3 linked regions of the Caenorhabditis elegans genome follow. The protein of the gene in region 3 purifies or fractionates together with the protein of the main gene of each other region. This does not show direct contact. Each region holds a gene or a part of one and is shown on either strand. Other genes may lie near its edges.

Evidence for each region.
Region 1: the proteins of gsto-2 (region 3) and Y57G11C.43 fractionate together in Caenorhabditis elegans (co-fractionation; one large-scale study listed by BioGRID). This does not show direct contact.
Region 2: the proteins of gsto-2 (region 3) and F35D11.4 fractionate together in Caenorhabditis elegans (co-fractionation; one large-scale study listed by BioGRID). This does not show direct contact.

The regions. Positions count from the first base shown.
Region 1 is NC_003282.8:14,767,578-14,771,357, reverse strand, and holds Y57G11C.43 (Protein KTI12 homolog), read right to left. Parts: upstream 1,918-3,780; 5' UTR 1,784-1,917; coding exon 1,699-1,783; intron 1,645-1,698; coding exon 1,248-1,644; intron 1,195-1,247; coding exon 1,089-1,194; intron 1,042-1,088; coding exon 721-1,041; 3' UTR 659-720; downstream 1-658. Other genes in the region: degl-1 (DEgenerin Like), read left to right, coding at 1-114, 170-248, 301-417, 483-581, 629-658; Y57G11C.3 (Putative 6-phosphogluconolactonase), read right to left, coding at 2,295-3,068, 3,122-3,157; mrps-7 (Small ribosomal subunit protein uS7m), read left to right, coding at 3,633-3,746.
Region 2 is NC_003280.10:4,601,718-4,604,818, forward strand, and holds F35D11.4 (CYTH domain-containing protein), read left to right. Parts: upstream 1-1,709; 5' UTR 1,710-1,716; coding exon 1,717-1,814; intron 1,815-1,871; coding exon 1,872-1,941; intron 1,942-1,992; coding exon 1,993-2,349; 3' UTR 2,350-2,444; downstream 2,445-3,101. Other genes in the region: coa-3 (Cytochrome c oxidase assembly factor 3), read right to left, coding at 1-18, 75-161, 800-916.
Region 3 is NC_003281.10:8,552,991-8,556,364, reverse strand, and holds gsto-2 (putative glutathione transferase omega-2), read right to left. Parts: upstream 1,594-3,374; 5' UTR 1,570-1,593; coding exon 1,527-1,569; intron 1,473-1,526; coding exon 1,008-1,472; intron 941-1,007; coding exon 684-940; 3' UTR 621-683; downstream 1-620. Other genes in the region: C02D5.4 (Glutathione S-transferase omega), read right to left, coding at 2,601-2,857, 2,962-3,374. UniProt on the Caenorhabditis elegans protein: Exhibits glutathione-dependent thiol transferase activity. Has dehydroascorbate reductase activity and may contribute to the recycling of ascorbic acid. Participates in the biotransformation of inorganic arsenic and reduces monomethylarsonic acid (MMA).

The sequences.
Region 1 (3,780 bases), on a different chromosome or scaffold from region 3:
GATTATCGACAGTGATTTGGACTTTTCCGATTCAGATGGAGAATTCAAAGAAATCATTAAAGACATTGAAAATGATCAATGGAAAGATAAACCAGTCGATGAAACGAGATGGTCGTAAGATAAAAAAAACTCTAAATTTCTAGCTTTTTCCATAGATTTTCGGATTCAGAAAAACAAAAAGTGCTGTACACGAGTGGGGATTGTCTTGTTCGTGGCATGGAATCCCTCACATGGCTCAATCTCTTTCAGTAAGTAATAGGTTCAAATATTTCTTCAAATTCAGAGATTCCATGATTCCAGTGGCCAACGATCCTTCTCTGGACAACCTTGCTCATTATCAGCGCCGTTTTGTTCGTCTACCTTATCACCGTCACCGTTCGCCAATACTTTTCGTTTCAAAAATTGGTGAATCTGAATGTAAATTTCTTAAATCGCTTTTTTTTTTAAATCTTTATTATTTTATTGAAGCCAAAGAATTGTAGATTGGAATGGTAGAGTCGAACTTCCCATCAATCACATTCTGTAATACAAATCCATATAAATTGAGTGCAGTTCGAGCGATTCCTGAGCTGGAAGCCTTGGTAATTAAATTTACAAAATTTAAAATGAATCGGAATTTTGTTTTCAGCTCACCGTCTACTCACAAGCCTATACATGATAAAACTTTGGATTTTTATTTTTCTGCATTTTCAAATAAAGTCATAACAAACAACAAAACAATCATCTCAAATTGCAATTCAAAAAATCGACAAATCCCGTGATAATCTTCTCCTTATCAGTTGTCGGATCCTTCTTCGACATGTTCACAAATTGGTGTCGCAGTCGATTCAGCTCAGGCAGCGTTCTCAATTTCATAAACTTTATCGTATTGGCTCCGTCTGTTGCTCCAGGAATCGTCAGGTTTTGACCGCGAACTGCAGTTCTTTGAGCATTTAAAAGCACTGTAACAACGTCTTGTGTGGATCGATCCAGCTCGTGAAGAAAATTTGTCGGCGCCAGTGGGACTGTCTGTGTTGATTGGTTTTCTGTGAGCTCTGTTCCCTGGAAAACTAATTATTTTTCTATTCGATAATTTAGGATTCACTTACATTACAAATCCATTCAACAATTTCATCTTCAAAAATGCTCGCAAATCTCGGAGCAGGATGCTCCAAGTCTATCGCCATATCCTCATCGAAGTCTACAGGCGTGGCTCTGGAATAGGAAACAATTATTATTTTTTTTTCCAATTAATTTTCCAATCTCACTTCTCAGCAGTACCAATTTTAACCTCAAACAATGGTTTTTCCCATCTCAACTTCGTATCCGGCCTTTCATATCTCATCATCAACTGATCGATAATCTCCTTCGGATATCTCTCCACTTCAGGCTTCTGCTCATTGAGCCAGTGACACGTGGCGACGGGAGGCGAGCACTCGACGACACAATACGTGGTTTTGCTCATCTTAGCGGCTAAGAATAATTCATATCGATATCCTTTGATATAATTCAAAGCATCACATATTATAACTTTATTCTTCGTTAGATTCTGTTGAACTTGAGATCGAATCCAAGATCGGAGATCCTTCTCTTTATTCGAAAATTCGTAGTTTTTTCGATCAAATCCTCCGTAATCTTCGTCCCGTATTATCAAATAGTCTTTGCCTGGAATGATGGGAATTTTAAGAAATTTTAAAGCAGAAAATACACAATTTTTACCTTTTTCCTCGAATTTCTTCGCTAATCTATCAACAACTGTAGATTTTCCAGACGATGGATGACCGGTAACAATGATAAGAGGCATAAATATCTAGAATAATCCTTATATTTCAGTAATTTTGACATATTTCAATCCATGAATTTTGCAAAAAACAACGTCGCACAGAAATAGAGGCGGGGCGTAATTTTGCAACCTTGCGGCACGATTTTTTACTCTATAAGAGATTGAAATTGGATCGCATTTTCATTCGAAAAAGAGAATAAAACGAGCAAATTCCCCGATCGATCCTGTAGTTTTTTGAAGTTCCGCATCTAAAAAAAGTAATTCACGGTAATGAACCGTTTACAATATTTTAGAAAATTGAATTTCATAAATTCAAAAATTGCAATTTTATTTTACAGTTGGAGGAAATCCGGAAACAATTTAAAACTTTCACGACGATTTGAATTTTTTTTTGTGGTTTTTTGTTTCTCTTTGATGATGGCCATAATTAAAGGAATAAGGAGGAATGCGACTTAATGAAAAAAATAAGAGAAAATTACAGAGAAAAAAAAAAGAAATTAGGTATATATTTTAATATCACACAAGATGCTGCTCATCCGTCAAACGGTGGAGGAGAGTCAGAATCCGACGAATCTCTATCCGGTACACCAGTTGCTGCGTCTTCATCGAGGAATAGTGTCAATTTGTCGTTGAATGGACGTGCTTGAGCGGCCGGATACTTTTGATCACGATCACAAATTCCTCGTACAATTTCCGCTTTTTGTTTCCCGCAAATGATGAAAGCAACGTTTTTGGCGTGTTGAAGAGTTTGCAAAGTAAGTGTGATACGAGATGGTGGAGGTTTCGGGGAGTCTGTGATGACGGAAACCCAATTTAGCTCGGTAATCTTCTCCAGCCGCTCCTTTCCAGGGAAGATACTTGCAGTGTGACCATCTGGACCAACTCCAAGGAAAAGAATATCGAAACGAGCAGTATTGTTGAGCTGCTCCGGGAGCAAGTATTTACGAAGACTGATTTCATAGTGTTGGGCGGTGAGGCAGGGATCCTTGAAAATTTGCATGGGCACAAAAACGTCTCTGAGCTCATTCGGGAATAATCTCAAATATTCTCCCTGATTACTTTCCTCGCTATCCAGATCAACGTTACGCTCATCAACCATAAAAATTCGAATCCTCTTCCAATTCAGCTGCTCTTGTGGCAAAGAGAGAATAGCTTTCGAAAAGACTCGTGGCATCGATCCACCGGAAACTCCAATACTGACTGTACCATTTTGATCTAGAAGATAGGTGAGCTTTTCCTCGAGATAACGACGCAGCTGAAGGATGAGCTCCTTTTCGTCGCCAGAAACGTTGAGCGCCGGCTTCATCTGAAAATAATTTTGTTTTATAAAGAATAAATACATTTGAAACGAGATTTTACATTGCTATTCGATACGAATTCGTTAACGAGACACATTGATATTCTCCACGGAATGAGCGGGGGCTGAGTGAGCGGAAATACTGAAAAAGAAGCAAGAAATAAAATCGTTTATGACATGAAAAGGATTTCTCTTCACGAAATAAACCAGGTTTATTTTAAAAGCTAAAGGAAGGTGTCATAAATAAGAAAAAGGAATTTTAATTTATTTAAACTGTATTATTATTATTCAGAAAAAAGCCGATGAAAACAGGAAAAAAACAAAAAGTGATAAATGTCTAGCAACAATACTCCGAAATGCATGCGCGCCCAGTTTATTGAGACGATAGACTATGCAAAAAGACGAGACGCAGAGTATGCAAGCATGCTCCACTGCACTCTTGTGTCGAAATACGAGCGAGTCCACGGATTTTCCATTGATTTCCGAGTTTTCTTCGCATATTTTTGCAGTTTTCAAAGCTTCATGATTTGCAATTTAATTATCAAATACTTAATATTGTTATTTGTAGTAAATATGACCACAAAACTGGCGCGATTCGCTCAAAAACGATGGATTTCTTCGACGACTTCCACATCAAATATGTACGATCCAAGAGTATTCAGAGATCCCGTAACGAATGTTCAAGAGGTTAATTTGTTTGTTTTAATCTATAAATCTTAAC
Region 2 (3,101 bases), on a different chromosome or scaffold from region 3:
GACTCGCTCTTGATTCACCTGGAAATTGGGAAAGAATTAAGGAAAATTGAGGAAAAAATTAATTTTAAAAAAACCTTCTCAAACTGCTTGGCGAACCGTTTCTGTGGTCGTGGTAGATCCTCAATATCGATTGTTTCCAGCATCTCATTGTCCTTCTTTTTCTGGAAAAATTTAGCTTTTTTTATAGATTTTGTATCCAAAAAAAAAAAAAACACTTTTTTTGCAAATTTTCGGCTTTTCCGGATAAATTCACGGTTTTCAATCATTTTCCGTTAACAAATCCTTGGAAAATGGTATATTATAGATTATTAGGCTAATTTCAGAGTTTTAGCTGTTTTTTTCGGGGATCAAGTCTTTTTTTCAGTTGTAGAACTTGAAATATTCGCTGAAACTTCAAAACTGGCCTGGAAATCGATTATTTAATATTTTGAAAATTTTTTTGAAGGAAAAAAAGTCTGAAATTGCAAAAAAAACTGTCTGAATATTACAACAAAAAAAATTGAAAAAAAAAACACGAAAATTTAAAAATTAATTGAAAAATAATTTTTTAAGCCTAGAAAAATAACCTCTAAACTCTACAACTTAAATATAAACTAAATTAAATCTAAATTTATCTCCAAACTAAAGGAAAACAAAACCAGATGCGAAGCTGGCAGAGCAAAATTGTTTAGATTATATTCCAAACTTTACTTTTTTTTGTTGATTTTTTGAACTAAAATCGAATCTTGGATCGATGAATTTCACGAATTTTAGGCTTTTCCAGACGAAAAAACACTCCAAAAAATTTAAAAAAACTCACTTCAATTTGTGAGAACTTCGTCGTCTCCGTCGGCAATTTTTCCTTTGTGGCAGCTAGACGGCTCGTGCTGACAAGCCTTCGGAATGCCAGTGTCCGGCAATTGAGCACAGCGAGCATCTGATATTTATTTATTTTTTTTTTCGATTAAATTGCATTATTGTTGTCAATATCACAAGGTGTTCAAATATCAAGGGAAAATGTTTGAAGCAGCGGCATGAGATTTATATTGATTTTCATATGAAATGGGGAAATGTGTACTGAAAACTTTATGAAAAGGATAAAAAGAAAGAGGAGAAATGGATGAGTGAATGGCATTTTATATCAGAAGACACGATCTTTAGAGGAGAAAAGTGTAGGGAAAAGGTGAAAGTATTCGGTTTTTTTCATGAATTTCATAATTCCTATAATTTTCTGACAGAAAAATCAATAATTTTCTTTCACTTCCGCGTATCGAACGTGAAAACGAAACAAATTCGGGGGCATGTTTGCTTTAGAAGTCTCGCACTCGTGTGAAATGAGCTTCGGACAGAAAATCACTGATTTAATGTAAATATTCAAACATTTTTAAAAATAAATTGACTAAATTCATTGAATAATTGGAAAAAAAATTAAAAAAATCAGTACAAATCGAGGAAATCCGATGGAAAAGCAGGACGAAAAAGCATTTCATTGTTTTTGTTTCCCTGGCGCTACTTCCAAGAGGAGTACACACGAGGTGGACGAGAAAACCCTCGCGGCCGCAGTTGCCCGCGAACTTTTGAGCGTTTGAACTCTCAAACTTTTTTATCAGTTTTCAGTGACAATGAATTCAAAATCACTCTTTTCTCGAATTATTCGAAATTATTCGAAGCCTTTTCCTTTTAAGTGGATTATATTTACAAAATACACCACTAATTAAGACATTTTTCAGCAATACGATGTCGAGAAACGTGGAAATCAAGGCAAAAGTTCAAAATCTCGATGAGACGGTTCGCCGCGCCGTGGAAATTTCCGGAAAACAGCCGACTATCTTGAAGTGAGTTGAATCAGAATAGTTTTATTGGAAATCAATCATAAAAATGTTTTATTATAGGCAGCATGACATCTTTTACGAGTCACCGAATGGCCGCCTGAAGATGAGAAGCGTTGAGGAGAACGGAGTGGTAAATAATAGTTTTCTTTTTTACTTTAAAATTAAAATTTTGATTTTTCAGGCCCACACAGAGCTTATTTGGTACGATAGATCTGACGTGGCTGGCCCGAAGCTCAGTAATTTCAACAAATTCGACGTTCCATCTGAAGTTCTTGATGCTCTGAAGCTCTCCCTCCAATCCTCAATGGGAGTCAAAGGAGAGGTGAAAAAGACGAGAACTCTGGTGCTCCACGGTCAAACACGAATTCATATTGATCGCGTCGATGGGCTCGGTGATTTTATGGAGTTGGAAGTGTGCCTGTCGCCTGAAGAGACTCCAGAGCACGGAGAGAAGATAGCTCATGAGATTCGGGAGCTGCTCGCCGTGCCAGAGACCGATTTGCTCACTGGTGCCTATATGGATATGTTGAAGGCTTGAAGGCTTCAATTATTTGTTAAATTTGAATTTTTTTTTTTTTCAATAGCTCTCGGTTATATGTTGTTATTGCGGATACATAAAAGTTTATGCATCAGAAAGTTTTATATTTAATCTTGCAGGATCATAATCGCTAATCTCCACAACAACAAAAAACAATTACTTCAAAAATCTGACATCATTTTTTGTATTTTTCTCCTTCCTTTTATCGAAAACCTTATCAATAGAAATGTCATTTCAGCTTTTCGATTTTATTTTATTTTTTTTCTCTCTCTCTCTGTCTCTCTCTGTCGTTTTCCTAAAATTTCGTTGAAACAGAGAGGCTCAGACAATGAGAAAAACGCTTCACTCACTCGATTAATGTGCGAATTTGGAAGCCGGAGAGTGGAAAAAGAACGGAAACAAATAATGAATAACTGATGCCGATGTTGATTATGACTTTTTGAAAAGAAATAAAGAGGAAATTTTAGTTCAGAGATATTTTTTCATCAATTCTCACTATTTTTATGTTATTTTAACTAGTTTTACCCTAAATAATTGTGTGCAGCTTTGATTCACGTTCCCGCGATTTCTAATTTTCCAATTATCTGTGTACTGTATCCCCAAAAGTACGCGAATACAACCAATGCCCCCAATATTACGACAGAATGACACTGAAATTGTCTGAAAAACCAAGCTTGAATCTGAATTTCTACGTTTAAAATGCTAAAATTTGAGAATTCTGTGTTTTAGATATAAAATTGGTGGTTTTTCTT
Region 3 (3,374 bases):
AGAGCAGACAACGTATTTATATATTCCTGAACATCTAATGGAAGATTCAATATATTCCCGCATTTCCAAATGAAAACAACTCTCATATTACACTTGGAACGTCCACAGAAATGCGTTTAGTTTATTCACAAGTGAGGAGAAAGATGGAAAAAAAATTATCAGTTTTCTCTTTAACTCTGACTCATCAAATGTTCAAAACGTCCGTACTGTATGAAGCTTATACAAAATTAAAAAAATTACATTTCATAAAAAGGGACAGTTAGACTTAATATCAAAAACACAAGAAACCGAACAGAGGTGACAAGTTCACTTCATGATAAAACTTTTCATAAAAACCTATAGAAATAAAACTCCGGTGTCAGTTAAAAGAAAACAATTTTCAAAAAAAAATAAATCCTCAAAGCCAACTTTATAAGAGGAAGAATAGTTTGCAAGAAGCAGACACGCATCCGCGTCGCCGAAGTATTTCTATAAAAATGAAATGGAAAGTGACTGGACGAGAGACAACAATCAGATCTCGTCGTTTTCATCCTTTTTCTCTTATTCTCAACCATCATCTGTCACTAATAGCATCTCCCTCTTTGTCTTACTTTCTGGATAAACAAAAAAGTCTGCTTCAATCTCTCCAAAAAGTTTATTTACATTCAAATACTCATATGCAATTTGTAACGAAGAGAAGATATTTACAATCCATAGTCAAAGTTTGGTGCTCCAATAATCCAGCTTTTGAAGAACTCAACTGCTGTTTCAGTTGGTTGGCTGGTAGCAATAACTTCTGGAATTGAATCCAATCTTTTATACCATTTAGATAGTTTCGGATAGTTTGGTCCTGGGAACGATTCTACTTTTAATGGGAAATCCTTGATGATATGGGAAGTCCAGAAAGCACGTTGAATGTTCGGATATATGAGATAATCGACAAATCCTGGTTTTGATGTTCCTGAAGATTTAAATATTAAATTAATTTTAATTAAACTGATTAGTTTCAATATTAAAATATTTCGTGCCTGAATAAAAATCTCCAGTCAAGAGTTCCTCTGCTGTATCATATGCTTTTGCAAGTTCAACTAGTTTTTCCTTGAGAAGATCAGAAATTTTGGCCGCTTGAACAACACCGTAGAATGCAGAAGAAAGTTGTCCACTGATTCTATCCAACAATAACTTTTGCTGAACTTTCTCGTAATGGTCAGTTGGAATAATACGAGGTTCTGGATAGATATCATCCAAATATTCTGGAATCACAGCTGACTCAATCACAATTTTCTTTCCCTCGTCGTGCTCTAGTGCTGGAACTTGTCCTTTGTAATGTTTCGTGAAAAACCAATCTGGTTTTTGATCCAAATGGATGTTGATTACTTCGGTCGGGATCTTTTTGAGAGACGCAAAGATTAGAGCACGTTGAGCCCATGGGCAATATCGCATATTGTAGATACGAATGGTTCCTGAAGCTGGTGGAGCTGGAGCTGGATCACCTGAAAGAATCTTGGTAATTCAGTTGTCAGACAAAAACAATCTCAATAACGTACCATTTTTGACAACTTTAGTGTTTAATCCTGATAGGACTGACATGCTTCTTCGTTCCGCAATTGTTCTGCAATGTAAATTTTTAAAATTAATTTTCGAGCTTGAAAGATGCACGTAGAAAGATATAAAAGTCAAACGAGTTATCACATGAGGAATGCTGCATTATTAATTTGGTATAAATAGTCAGTGTTGTGCTGGGGGAAGGAAGTAAACACAGGCGGAAGCCTACATGATGACAAATTGCACTTGTTTTCTTGGTGTAACGGATTGATCATAAAACATTTTACAGGAAGGCCTTGAATATTACCAAAGTGGATTGTATACAAAAATTTAAGTTGATAGACGTAGAAACGAAGATTACTTATTTTTGTATAGGAAATCCTAGCTTCTACTTATTAAGAATGGAAACGATCCATGACATCCTAGAGCATTTATTTTCATTTTTCTTGGTGTGCAAAAACAAACGATGACATAGCGAAAGAACTCCCTCTGAGCCCCCTCTAGAATGACTTTGAACTATGCTACAAACCACATGTTGTAAAAAAATCAGTCACAAAATTGTGTTATTTCCTCCAAAAACACACACACACGAGAACGGTGAATTTGCATGATGACTTTTGAATCGAAGTTTGTTATCATTGCGATCTAAGAATTAATTGTGAATGGCGATCACAAATTTCCTCTACGTTTTTATTTCGCTATTCTCAATATGGCTTAAATTCAGTCTGAAAAATAAATTGTGTTTATTGGACGCATAACTTGATAATATAGCATATTGTTCTATACTGAAAAGTATAATTAAAGCACAGGAATTATGGACTGTGATATAGTGCCAATAAAATTATTGATGGTAGAATATATATCGTTTGAGAACATTTTGTGATCACCTCTGAAAACTATTTTGGAATTCAGTTGTTTTTTCCTTCGATGATTTTCGTTGTAACTTTTGTTTTTAGAATCGTCCACTTTTCTAATTTTTCTAATTCAACAAAATCATTATTATATCGAGAAATGTTTTATTAAATTCCACATATTCACATCCACAACACAAAGTTTAAAAATATAATAACAAATGTTTACAATCCATAGTCATAGTTTGGAGATCCACCGAGGTAATCCTTGAAGAATCCAACCCCATTCTCTGTTGGCTGACTGGCAGCGGCAACTTCTGGAATCGATTCCAGAGCCTTGTACCATTTGGATAGTCTTGGATAGTTTGGTCCTGGGAACGATTCAGCTTCCAATGGGAAATCTGGAACTATGTGTGCTGCCCAGTAAGCGCGTTGAATGTTCGGGTAGAGAAGATAGTCAACAAATCCAGGTTTTGAGGTTCCTGAAATTAATTCAAATAATTTTAAAATACACAAGACTAAAACTACAACTTAGTTTCTGTTCTTTATAAGTTTCGCATTCTCAATCTTAATTCTTAAAAAATACCTGAATAGAAATCTCCAGTCAATAACTGCTCAGCATTATCATACGCCTTCTTGATATCCGCAAATTTTTCTTCGCGGAGATCTGGATTTTTGACAGCTTGAACGACTCCGTAGAATGCAGGTGACACTTGTCCACTGATTCTATCCAACAATAACTTTTGCTGAACCTTCTCGTAAGGATCAGTTGGAAGAATACGAGTCTCTGGATAGATATCATCCAAATATTCTGGAATCACAGCTGATTCAATAACATGCTTCTTTCCTTCGTCGTGCTCCAATGTCGGAACTTGTCCTTTGTAATGTTTTGAGAAGTACCAGTCGGGTTTTTCTTGCAAGTGAACATTGATAACATCGCTCGGTATATTTTTAACAGATGCATAGATTAGAGCACGTTGAGCCCACGGGCAGAATCGC